Linked DNA regions of Drosophila melanogaster. Each later gene encodes a partner of the first gene's protein in a complex. Each region holds a gene or a part of one and is shown in the gene's direction. Other genes may lie near its edges. The genes, in order: MED19, MED20 and MED18.

Region 1 (3,756 bases):
CGATGGCGTAAATATTGGGCACCACAGTTTGGAAAGTGGCGTTGACGGGGATCCTGCCGCGGTCATCCTTAACAATGCCCACGGCCTCCAGACCCAAACCTTCGGTGTAGGGACGACGTCCAACACTGACCAGCAGGGCGTCGCACTGGATCTCCTCTTTCTCGCCAGACTTGGCGTTCTCCACGGACACGGTGACGTTGTCGCCGCTGCGAGAGGCAGCCGTCACCTTGGTGCCCAGCTTGAACTTAAGACCCTGCTTGGTGAGCACCTTTTGGAACGTCTTGGAGACTTCGTTATCGATGCCCACGCCGCCGATCGTATCCATGAACTCAATGGCAGTGACCTCAGCGCCCAGACGCGACCATACCGAACCCAGCTCCAGGCCAATGACACCGGCGCCGATGACAACCAGATGCTTGGGCACCTTGGCCAGCTTCAGGGCGCCAGTGCTGCTCACAATAACTTCCTCGTCGATCTGTGAAGGTTTTTGAATGGCATGCATTAGTAATCAAGCGCGCTGTAGAGGTTTTGCACTTACTTCAATGCCAGGGAAGGGGGTAACCTCCGAGCCGGTGGCGATGAGGATGTTCTTGGTCTTGACAGTCTCCGTGGAGCCGTCGGATTTCTTAACCTCCACCTCGTTGGGATTGACGATGGTGCCGAAGCCCGTCAGCTGTGTGACCTTGTTCTTCTTGAAAAGCATGGCAATGCCACCGGTCAAAGCCTTCACGGCGTTGGACTTTTGACCCATAAGCTTCTCCAGATCCAGGCTAACGCTGCCGCAGCTAATACCACGTTTCTCCAGATCACCGGAGTGGGCCATGTGGTAGTAGTGGGAGTTGTTCAGCAGCGCCTTTGAGGGAATGCAGCCAACATTCAGGCAGGTGCCGCCCAGAGTTGCCTCCTTCTCCACGCTGACCGTCTTCATGCCCATCTGGGCGGCCTTGATGGCGGCGACATAGCCACCGGGTCCGGAGCCAATCACCACGATGTCCGCCTCGTGGGTGCTGGAGTAGCAGCGGGCGTTGAGGGCACCCAGAATGGCGGCATTGGTGCGCAGAGGAGTCTGTAAAGACGGCAGATTACTACATGTTGTGGCACCTTATCATTTATCACGCCAGTCGCACGCATTTCGCACTAATCTTCGGCCGACTATCAGCTGATAATTGGCCTAATTAGCGACCTTGAAAACGGGGCCAAACAAATCCCCAAACGCCAGTGAATCACCCACCGGGATCATATGAGCACTGCAGGTGATCCAAGTGCATTTTCCAGCCTTTTCCTGCCCATTTCTCGACCCCCTCGGTGAGGTTAGATTGCATAACTTGAGGGGCGATGGCGTTTGGGGAATCGGTTATGTCGCCCGATCCTTACCTTGGCTACTGCCGAAACAACATGACGGAGCGTGAATTGCATGGCTGGTGCGGGCGAGTTATGAGGATAATCGTTATTTAACTACAAACACAACACTAGTTTGATGTGTGTTTTTCCGACTGTTTTTCGTGTTGTGGGGCTCGGAGCGGTCGCAGGGCTGGCGATGTGCATTCGATAGTGGTCATATGATGGCCGCGATGCTATCGATTGTTTTGGTGATTTTCCACTCTGTTGGAATTTGAAATTCTAAAACATTTTCGTATGAAAAAGATGTGTATAAAAATATTAGCTTGATGATCGTTCAAAATACGATATGTCCGTCACTCAATTGCTAGTTTATACAATATTCACTTTATGGGTCATTTGTTGTAGCAAAAGCTACCTAAAAACAAGCCAACTATACGTGTAAGCCGGCTTTTATAGTTTTGGCACCCATTAATTAATGTTTTTGTACGTATAAAATAAACTGTAATAAATAAACTGTAAAATAACTGTTTTAAAAATATATAACTCAACGTACATACGATACATATATAATAAGAGTTCCAAAGTAATATTAACTTTATTATATCTATAGGTAATTAAAAATGTATTATACGATGAATATTCGATAGTTTGCCCTACAGTACAACCCTGTGTGGTATTCCCCATCTGGGATATTTCCCACAACACTTTTGGTATTTTCACGTCGCGTTCATCTCGCGTTTTCGTTGAAGCCTCAGTATTTCGCTAGCTGTCGCAATGCGGTCACACTGGTTCGCGGACACAACAAGATGGCGAGACTTGCCCCCGAAATCTGTTAGAAAACGCCACAAGAGCAAATAATTAGTTCAGTTTTCGACCAGAAAAGAGTCAGCCGAAGTGCCGGGCAGACGCGGCGCATTTTGCAGAGTGTGAGCTTGGCCAGCGTTGCCCGAGAGCCGCGACAGGCGACACCTTCTGCTGGCCTTGCCTTGTTGCTGTGCCCCTGTGTGCGTGAGCGTGTGCGGTGCGGTGCGATTGTGTGCGTGGGTTGCCAAGAGTGAAGAGAATCGCTGAGTTTCCAAGATGATGAGCAACTACGGCAACATGATGGACTCACCGAAGTCATCGCCCCACGGCGGCGGCCGATCACCCGTGGTGGCCCGTCAAGACTCATCCGGCACCCTGAAAACGACCATTTCGCTGGGCAAGACGCCAACGATCATTCACACGGGGCCATTTTACTCCATGAAGGAACCACCCGCCAAGGCAGAACTTACCGGCGACAAGGATCTCATGACCGAGTACGGACTGCACCACACACTCACCAAGTTCAAGGAGAAGAAGTTCAAGGAGTCGCTGGCCTCGTTTCTGCAGAACATCCCCGGCATTAACGACCTCATCACGCATCCCGTGGAGAATAGCACGCTGCGGAGCGTGATCGAAAAGCCGCCCATTGGTGGAAAGGAGCTTCTTCCGCTGACTCCCGTGCAGCTGGCCGGATTCCGCTTGCATCCCGGACCGGTTGGTTTTTCCAATATGCTTTTAATTCGCTTGCTCAGTTTGAAAAATGACGAATCTTTAGATACGGCACATTGAACATCTTAGAATACATTTAGACGCTATTCAATGCTTTGCGTCTCTATACATTTGCATGCATTAATTTCGCTTTTTAAAATTTGCATATGAAATTTGGATTTAAGTGTCCTTGCACAGACTGATCTACTATAAAGTGTTATTTGGTCGCACCTTTTCTGTCACTTATTTCTATAATCACCGTAGTATTTTAGAGTTGTAATTCATTTTCCTTATGTTCAACAACAAATTTGAAACACAAATATTTTAGTCATTAATCACAAAAATTACTTAAATTAACAAGAGTGTAAATGTTGGTTTTCCCTTTAAACCTCTTTTGAACAGTGTATATTAAGTCAGTAGTTCGCAACGCAGTGATCTATATGAACAGCTGAGTCGATAAGGCCATGTCCGCCTGCCCGTTTTCTTTCAGTTTTAAATTTTTGTTGCAAGTAGTGCATAAATCAGAACGCGCCAGTTTAGGCCACTAATTCATATTGCTGCCATATGGTTTAATATTATGATATTCAAAAAAAAAAAAAAAACTAACCTTCCTTGTTGACGGATTGTCCTTCCTTTCTTGTTATTGAAATATTGGCATTTAATATTATTGAGAGTTTTCTTTCACCCTATATGCAATCTAATAATAATAATAATTCATCTTAAAAGGTTTCGTGAAATATTTTTTACATGTCATATATTTCAAACAATGGATAAATCGTTACTAGAACAAATTGCATAAAATATATTATTTTTTTCCTCTGCACTTTCACATTGCTAATTTATCCGATTCTGGTGCTCCTTTCAGCTGCCGGAACAGTATCGTACCACATATGTCACACCTGC
Region 2 (3,227 bases), on another chromosome or scaffold:
TTTATGCAAATAATGAATCTGCATAGTTTGTAAGTTTTATACGTATATACGCCTTCATATGAACCACAATTAGTTTATAAATTCCCAACACAAATCTCACATAGCCATGTACATGAAGCTACTAAGCGAGAAACAAGGAAATTTTTGTACACAACTTAAGAATGTCGCTCCTTTCCGTACCATAAGAATCGAATCGAATCTCTATGAAGTGTCTTGTGTTTTCTTTTGTAATAAACGAAACCTGAAAATAAATAAAAGTAATGTTTATCCAAATGTGTTTTCTTTTCATGGAATGTGTTGGTACACTTCAGAATTTGTGGATTTGAATATTTTTCCCAAATTCCAGGAATGGGTACAAAAATGTATAAAAATTCAAATTACTTACAAATTTATTATTAATTCAAAGAATAGAATGAAATGGATTACAAGACATTAATATATAAAAATTTATTTAAAATAACAACAGTTTTTTTTAAATAAAAATTAATTTGCTTAGTAAGGCCAAAATAAAATCTTACAATTTCTATGAATTTACCCATGGAAATTATTAATTAAGTTGTTTCATTTCACATTTTATACTAAAAAAGTTAAGGTAAATATATTAAAAATATTGTAGTTATGGAATATAACTAAGCTAAACAAAAACATTTGGATGTGTAGAAACAACTACGTCTTGCGAAAACTTAGTAAAATAGGTGATATCGCCTCCAGGCAGTCCATAATGTCCTTGCGCGACTTGGCGCCCGTAAATACAACCTTTCCGTTGACGAAGATCAGGAGAACGATGCGCGGCTTGACCATGCGATAGATTAGGCCTGGAAACATCTCCGGTTCGTAGGAACTAAACTGCCCGTGCACGTGGTTGAGGTTCTCCAGGCGGATGGGGAAGCGCAGATCAACGGTGGCCACAATATTCTGCAGCTTGTATTCCATGAACTTTACGGGGAATCCCAGCTTCTGCAGGATGCGTGCGAACTTTCGCGATCCAATGTCCGCCTCAATCTCGTTTCGTGCACCCGTGCAGATGACCTTGCCCGTTCGAAAGATTAGCGCTGTGCACCTGGGCGAGTGCATTCGCATGATGACGCCACGAAAGCGCTTGGGCGAGTACTCCGAGTTCCTCGTACGCGAGTTGATTGCCTTGAGGTCCAGTTCACAGTTCACCGAGAAGGTGGCCACGATATTCCTGCAAGTTATGGATGTATCAATGGGTTTCTATTTATTTCATGAAGTGCCTCTGAAAAGTGGTCAACCAACTGCAATCGTATCTCATGTTGTGCATCCTTGGGCTCCACCAGGGCAACGGGCTGTTGCGGCTGCAGGGCTGCGTGCGGATTGGCGGCAGCATTGCTGGTCGCAGCCACATTATCCCTGTCCCTTTCAGCGTCCGCGACTTTAAAGTGAAACTGCATTGCCGAAAATTATAAACAAATCCGCACGCGACGTGGCCAGTGTTGTCCTATTTTATTGCTGACGAAAATTGTATGCCGGTTTGGTATTTTTATTTGTCTAACTTTTCTCATGACTAAAAAGTCAGCACTGGTCACACTGGACGCTTTTAGCTTGCAAGACTTGTAAACAAAATTAATAAAACTAAAAAGCTGACATTATTGCATAAACTATGGGAGTAACTATCCTTCAACCGTATCCCTTACCCGAAGGCAAATCGGGTGCCCACATAATCGATCAGCTGAGCAAGCGTCTGCTCGCCCTGGGCGCCACACATGCCGGTCAATTTCTGGTGGACTGCGAAACGTTCATCTCGACGCCACAGCCGCACAATGGAGCACCTGGACGCGCAGTCCACGTCCTGCACAACTCCGAGTATCCCGCCTCCACGTTCTCGATCATCGACAATGGCACCGGCAAACAAGTGGCCATTGTCGCCGACAATATCTTCGATCTGCTCATGCTCAAGATGACCAACACCTTCACCTCCAAAAAGCAGACCAAAATCGAGTCCCGTGGCGCTCGTTTCGAGTATGGTGACTTTGTTATCAAACTCGGTTCCGTCACCATGATGGAGCACTTCAAGGGCATCCTCATCGAAATCGAGTACAAGTCATGCGTGATTCTGGCCTACTGCTGGGAAATGATACGCGAAATGCTGCAGGGATTCCTCGGCATTGCTGTGAATAAGGACTTTCCCTCCTATTTCGCTCCACAGACAATAATGACGGCAATGGGGCAACAGCAGCTGCATGCCAAGCACAACGACATCTTTGAGCCAATGGACACCGTGAAACAATACCTGGAGCAGTTCACCAACTATAGGAAGCATGTGACTCTTATGGGCGGTATGGGCAGTGGACCGGGTAGCCAACAGGTTGGTCCGAACGTGCATATGTCGCCGGCGGTGGCGGGACTACATCGATCCTGATCCGCCGACGTCAAGCTGGAGCCACCGGATGAGCCTGCAGCCGATTAAGATGTTTAGAAGATAATTTAAACAAAAAAAATATACATATGTCACTAATATTTAATAATTAAATAATCATTATTTTAAAGCTAGCATCACTAGTTTGCTTTACATATTTTAGACGAATAAACAAAACATTTATTAGCTTGTCCAAATACGTTTAAAATATTATAGTTATATATATATATATATATATATTTTGTGCAGTGTACAGTTTTTTTCATATATTGGTTATTCACTACTTTTTTATGTATTTTTAAAACAGCTGATTGGAATAATGATTAAAGCTGTGTGGTATCCCTGCTCGCACGGCATTTTACCGTTAATGAAATCTGGCCACACAGTAGGCCGAGTACTCAGTACTATCGGGCAAATTGACGAGATTATTTAAACAATAATGTCGGCCCACAGCGGCGGAACGGATTGGAATTCCGTTGTTAAAGCCCTGATACTTAACCGTACAGGAGCCTTAAACAAGAACGAAGTTGTTAATTTGCTCAAAGCTATCACGCGATGGTAAGTACAAACGATCATCTAGAACTTTTCGCCTACCGAATGGCGTAGTGAAAAATTTTCTGCTAGTGCAAAAAGTGACTTGCAAAATTAAATATGGCCGCTCCGGTGACGAAATAGCAAAAAGCTTTGAAAATTCTTTAATATCGAGAACTAACAACGCTCTATTCCGATATTTGCATAGCGAACATGACTTTTTCGAGGAGGAAAGCAATTTCACGCAGTTTTACACGGCCTTTGCGGCCCTGGCGGCGGACAAACTTATGCAAATCAAGACAAGTAAGTGCACCCTAAT
Region 3 (3,635 bases), on another chromosome or scaffold:
TTCTCCTTGTCCTTATCACTGTCGCTATCACTACCGCTTTCGCTAAAAGTGGCATCTGCATCCTCGTCGTCGGAGGCGTCTGTCCCGCTGTCGGAATCTATGAGCTTGCGCCAGCGATCCTCGTCTATATGATTGGTGCGTGGGCGTGTCAACGGCTTTTGAGTCCGCGGACGTCTCTCCGTTTGGACAGCGCGCATCGGAGGCAGACGAGTCGAGTTTAAAGGAGTCTGATTTGTGCGCAGAGGTTTAGTAACTGGGGATTAAAGCGCGTGTGACTCAACGGTTGGAGGATAAAAAGCATGGATAAATTCTTACATATGCTGAAGTCCCCGAGAACACTTTCATCTGGCTTGGGCTTCTTTTTTTTAGCGGTGGTTACCGCTGTTGCTTGAATATTCCTGGGCCTCAGAGGAGCCTGTTTACCGCCACTACCACTGGAGCGCTTTAGAGTGCGGATCACATCTGGTGTCTGCCAAGACTTGCCGTACAATTGATTGAGCAGCTTTTCTGCGTGGGTGAGAAACTGCTCATCCTCGGATGCATCATCCACAGACAGCATGGATTTTTGGTGGCTCTGAGGGTCCTGCTGCTGGTGCTCTTGGTGCTGCACCTCCTCCGAGCTGGGCAGGGACTTAGTGGCCCTGGGCGAAGAGTAATGCTCATCGTCGTCTTCCGCCGAACTTGACTCCATAGTGGGAATGCTGATTTTAATGTTGATCTTCGCTGAAATATTAATACTGCTGACCTGGATAGAACCGTGTTCGTCCCCTCCCGATGTGGAGGAACCAGAGCTGGCCTTTTGCGGCGTGAGCTCGCCCTCGCTGCTGGTTTCCGGTATTTCAATGGATTCATCAGGAACGGGCTCATTGTTGTGAATCGTCGAGTTATGGGTCTCAGAACTATCAGAACACAGGGTGTTGGGCTCGGTGTCATTGTCTGCTAAACGCTTGCTGCTGTATGTGGGCTCAAGCTCCTCCGATCCGAGAGTATTCGCCTCCGTTTCGTCGTCTGCCAACCGCTTGCTGCTATCCAATCGAGTGGCATCTGCTGAGCAGATGGTATTCACCTGCGTATCGTTGTTCGCCAGTTGTGTGCTGTTGTAAATCGGCCTGGTAGTGGGTGGCTGCCAGTCCTCGTCGGTGGGCGACATGGATTCGGTGTCCGCATCGGCTAGACGGGATTGCCGCTGGCTGGAAGAGAGGGGGGGCGGTGTCAATGGGCCATTCCACTCCATCTCGCGTCGCTCTATGGACACATCGCGCAGAAAAGCCTCGATGCGCTGCACTTTTTCGGTTGTGAGCATGGGCTGTGGTATGTCTTCCTGGCCGGGATTAGCCACAATTTCCCGTTCACTCACAGCCATGCTATCGGGAGGCAAGGGTTCTTGCTCATCCTCGCTAGAATCGGATATGGTGATACAGGAGGCGGCGTCGTCGTCGCCGGATACGTTCTCTTCCGTAGTGGAGGAAATGCAAATGGAGATCTCCGGCTTGGCCGAGTGCTCCTCATTTATGGGCTGCACTTTCAAATTGCTGATGCCAGCGGACAGGAGCTCTACATCGCCCACATTTGCCACATCCTGGCTGCAGCCGTCGGCGCTCAGCTGCAAGGCTTCCATGTAGTCGGAATTGTCGAGTTCTGTGTCCTCCGTATTTGCCCCGCAGGACGGAGCGGGTGCTCCCACATTGGCGCGCATGGGAGCTGCTGGCAGTTTCCTTGTTTTCTGGTCGTTCCTCTTTTCTGGATGATCCTTCGGCGCATGGGACACCTGGAGTCGTTTTTTGTGGGAGGATAGCGTCAAATTGGCGAACTTTTGATTGAAGGGAACTTTTACTTTGCTCGGGTCGACCGCATTGAAGAGCCTATACTTATGATCCGCCATTTTGGGGGCGTCGTTGGGGCATTTACGGTAAATCAATCTCTATGAATATGCTTTAAGCAAAATTCGTATTTGCTATTATTCTGTGCGCGTCGATTTACGTTCATCGTTATCGATAGACTATTTGATTTTCCGGCATCTAGCTAGTGCTGTTCGAAAATGTCTAAAACGGCATCACTAGTAAAACGAATTCTTCCAAGGAAATGAAACTAAAAACAAAACCAAACTACTGCTCAGTTAATTTAATACCATAGTACACCCAAACTTACAAAATTAGCCAATGGCGATTGTGTCGTCGGCCCGTGAGTCGCTCTCCCATGCGATGAACAACCGCTTCTTGCCCAACCTGGAGTACTTGCTGCAGGGATCTATCCTGGATTCCGCCGTGGAACACTTGATGCACAGGTGGGAGACCCAGTGTCAGATTTGAATCGTTTGCACCCGACTAACAGTCTAACCGCCTACCCACTATCAGACTAAAGGGACTCTGCGACAATGTGGACACCTCGCCGGAGCCGTTTCACGATCTGGAAGTGTGTATGAGCCTTCGCCAGCCCAATGCCAACCAGCCGCTGCTTCTTCGCGTGCGCCGAGCCCTTGGTCGCGATGCACCCTTTCAGATGCGCTACCTAGGAAACCCCGAGGTGGATCTGCGCCGGCCTACATTGGTACGCAGCTGCATGGACTGCGCCTGCACCAATGGCATTTTGGAATTCCTCACGGAAATGGGCTTCCGCCTGGAGTTCGAGTACATAGCAAAGGGTTGGAATCATGAAATATATTACGCTTGGGTTGCCAAAATGGATAGTGACAAATGGACTTATTTCAGGCTATATGTTCCGCAAGGGGCGCATGAAGATTACCGTCTCCAAGCTCATTAAGATTGTGCCCGGCAAGCAGCAGGACATGGCCAACGAGCCAATCTCACAAAGCTACATAGTGGAACTCTCTGTGGTGGCGCCAACGGGGCAGGAGAATGTCGGCGAGGAAATGCGCGTGTTTGCCGAGCAACTAAAGCCACTCGTGCAGCTCGAGAAGATCGACTACAAGCGACTGGGCGGCATGCCGTAGTTTACAATAAAAGTGCACATCGCATTTATCCAACAGTTATTTAATTTCTTAAATGTAAGAAAATATACAAATTTACAGAAAAGAACCGAGAGGGAATGATTACACTGCCAGAGTAAAAAATATCTCAAATTCAACCTTACACACCCACATGACACGACAACAACGGACTTTCCCAAAGCAGTGATAAAGAAGCTGCGGGGCGGTTAATCCTTAAAGGCCTCATTAAGAGCCGCCAGATTGCGATCGCTCACATAACTCTGGAGATCGCTGCGGCCCATCAGCGAAATGACCATCTTCAGCGTACTCCAAATAGACTCGGACATCTGGTTCTGTCCTCTAAAGGTAGCCGCCATCGCCGCATTGGGCAGCTCTCGGGCGGCGTTAGTGTGAGCCTGCATGGTAAGCGCTGTGAGTAAGTGCTCCACAGCTTCCTTGTAGGCCTTAAGGTTCATGCAACATACGCCCACGTTGTAACGCACACGGATGAAGCCCGGTTGGAGCTGCAGCGCCTGCTGATAAGCCTCCACCGCCTCCACGGAGCGCGAGCCGTTGGCCAAACTGGCCCCCAATCGGTTCCATGTCTTCGCATTTTGGGGATCCACCTGCAGAGCGGACTGGTAGCAGTCCACCGCCTTGTCGAACTCCCCAGATAGATTGTAGAGCACGCCGAGGGCATCCTGGACTT

The links.
Region 2: MED19 (region 1) and MED20 share a complex: the UniProt entries of both Drosophila melanogaster proteins name them as parts of the mediator complex.
Region 3: MED19 (region 1) and MED18 share a complex: the UniProt entries of both Drosophila melanogaster proteins name them as parts of the mediator complex.

What each region holds. Positions count from the first base shown.
Region 1 is NT_037436.4:17,844,857-17,848,612, reverse strand, and holds the start of MED19 (mediator complex subunit 19), read left to right. Parts: upstream 1-2,111; 5' UTR 2,112-2,421; coding exon 2,422-2,859; intron 2,860-3,718; coding exon 3,719-3,756. Other genes in the region: CG7430 (uncharacterized protein), read right to left, coding at 1-475, 539-1,066, 1,375-1,416. UniProt on the Drosophila melanogaster protein: Component of the Mediator complex, a coactivator involved in the regulated transcription of nearly all RNA polymerase II-dependent genes.
Region 2 is NT_033779.5:8,071,156-8,074,382, reverse strand, and holds MED20 (mediator complex subunit 20), read left to right. Parts: upstream 1-1,534; 5' UTR 1,535-1,621; coding exon 1,622-2,380; coding exon of another isoform or gene 2,381-2,428; 3' UTR 2,429-2,571; downstream 2,572-3,227. Other genes in the region: Trf (TBP-related factor), read right to left, coding at 667-1,186, 1,258-1,412; poe (purity of essence), read left to right, coding at 2,817-2,935, 3,117-3,211. UniProt on the Drosophila melanogaster protein: Component of the Mediator complex, a coactivator involved in the regulated transcription of nearly all RNA polymerase II-dependent genes.
Region 3 is NC_004354.4:1,863,855-1,867,489, forward strand, and holds MED18 (mediator complex subunit 18), read left to right. Parts: upstream 1-2,054; 5' UTR 2,055-2,159; coding exon 2,160-2,284; intron 2,285-2,331; coding exon of another isoform or gene 2,332-2,354; coding exon 2,355-2,641; intron 2,642-2,708; coding exon 2,709-2,950; 3' UTR 2,951-3,033; downstream 3,034-3,635. Other genes in the region: Gcna (germ cell nuclear acidic peptidase), read right to left, coding at 1-253, 316-1,882; Pex5 (peroxin 5), read right to left, coding at 3,154-3,635. UniProt on the Drosophila melanogaster protein: Component of the Mediator complex, a coactivator involved in the regulated transcription of nearly all RNA polymerase II-dependent genes.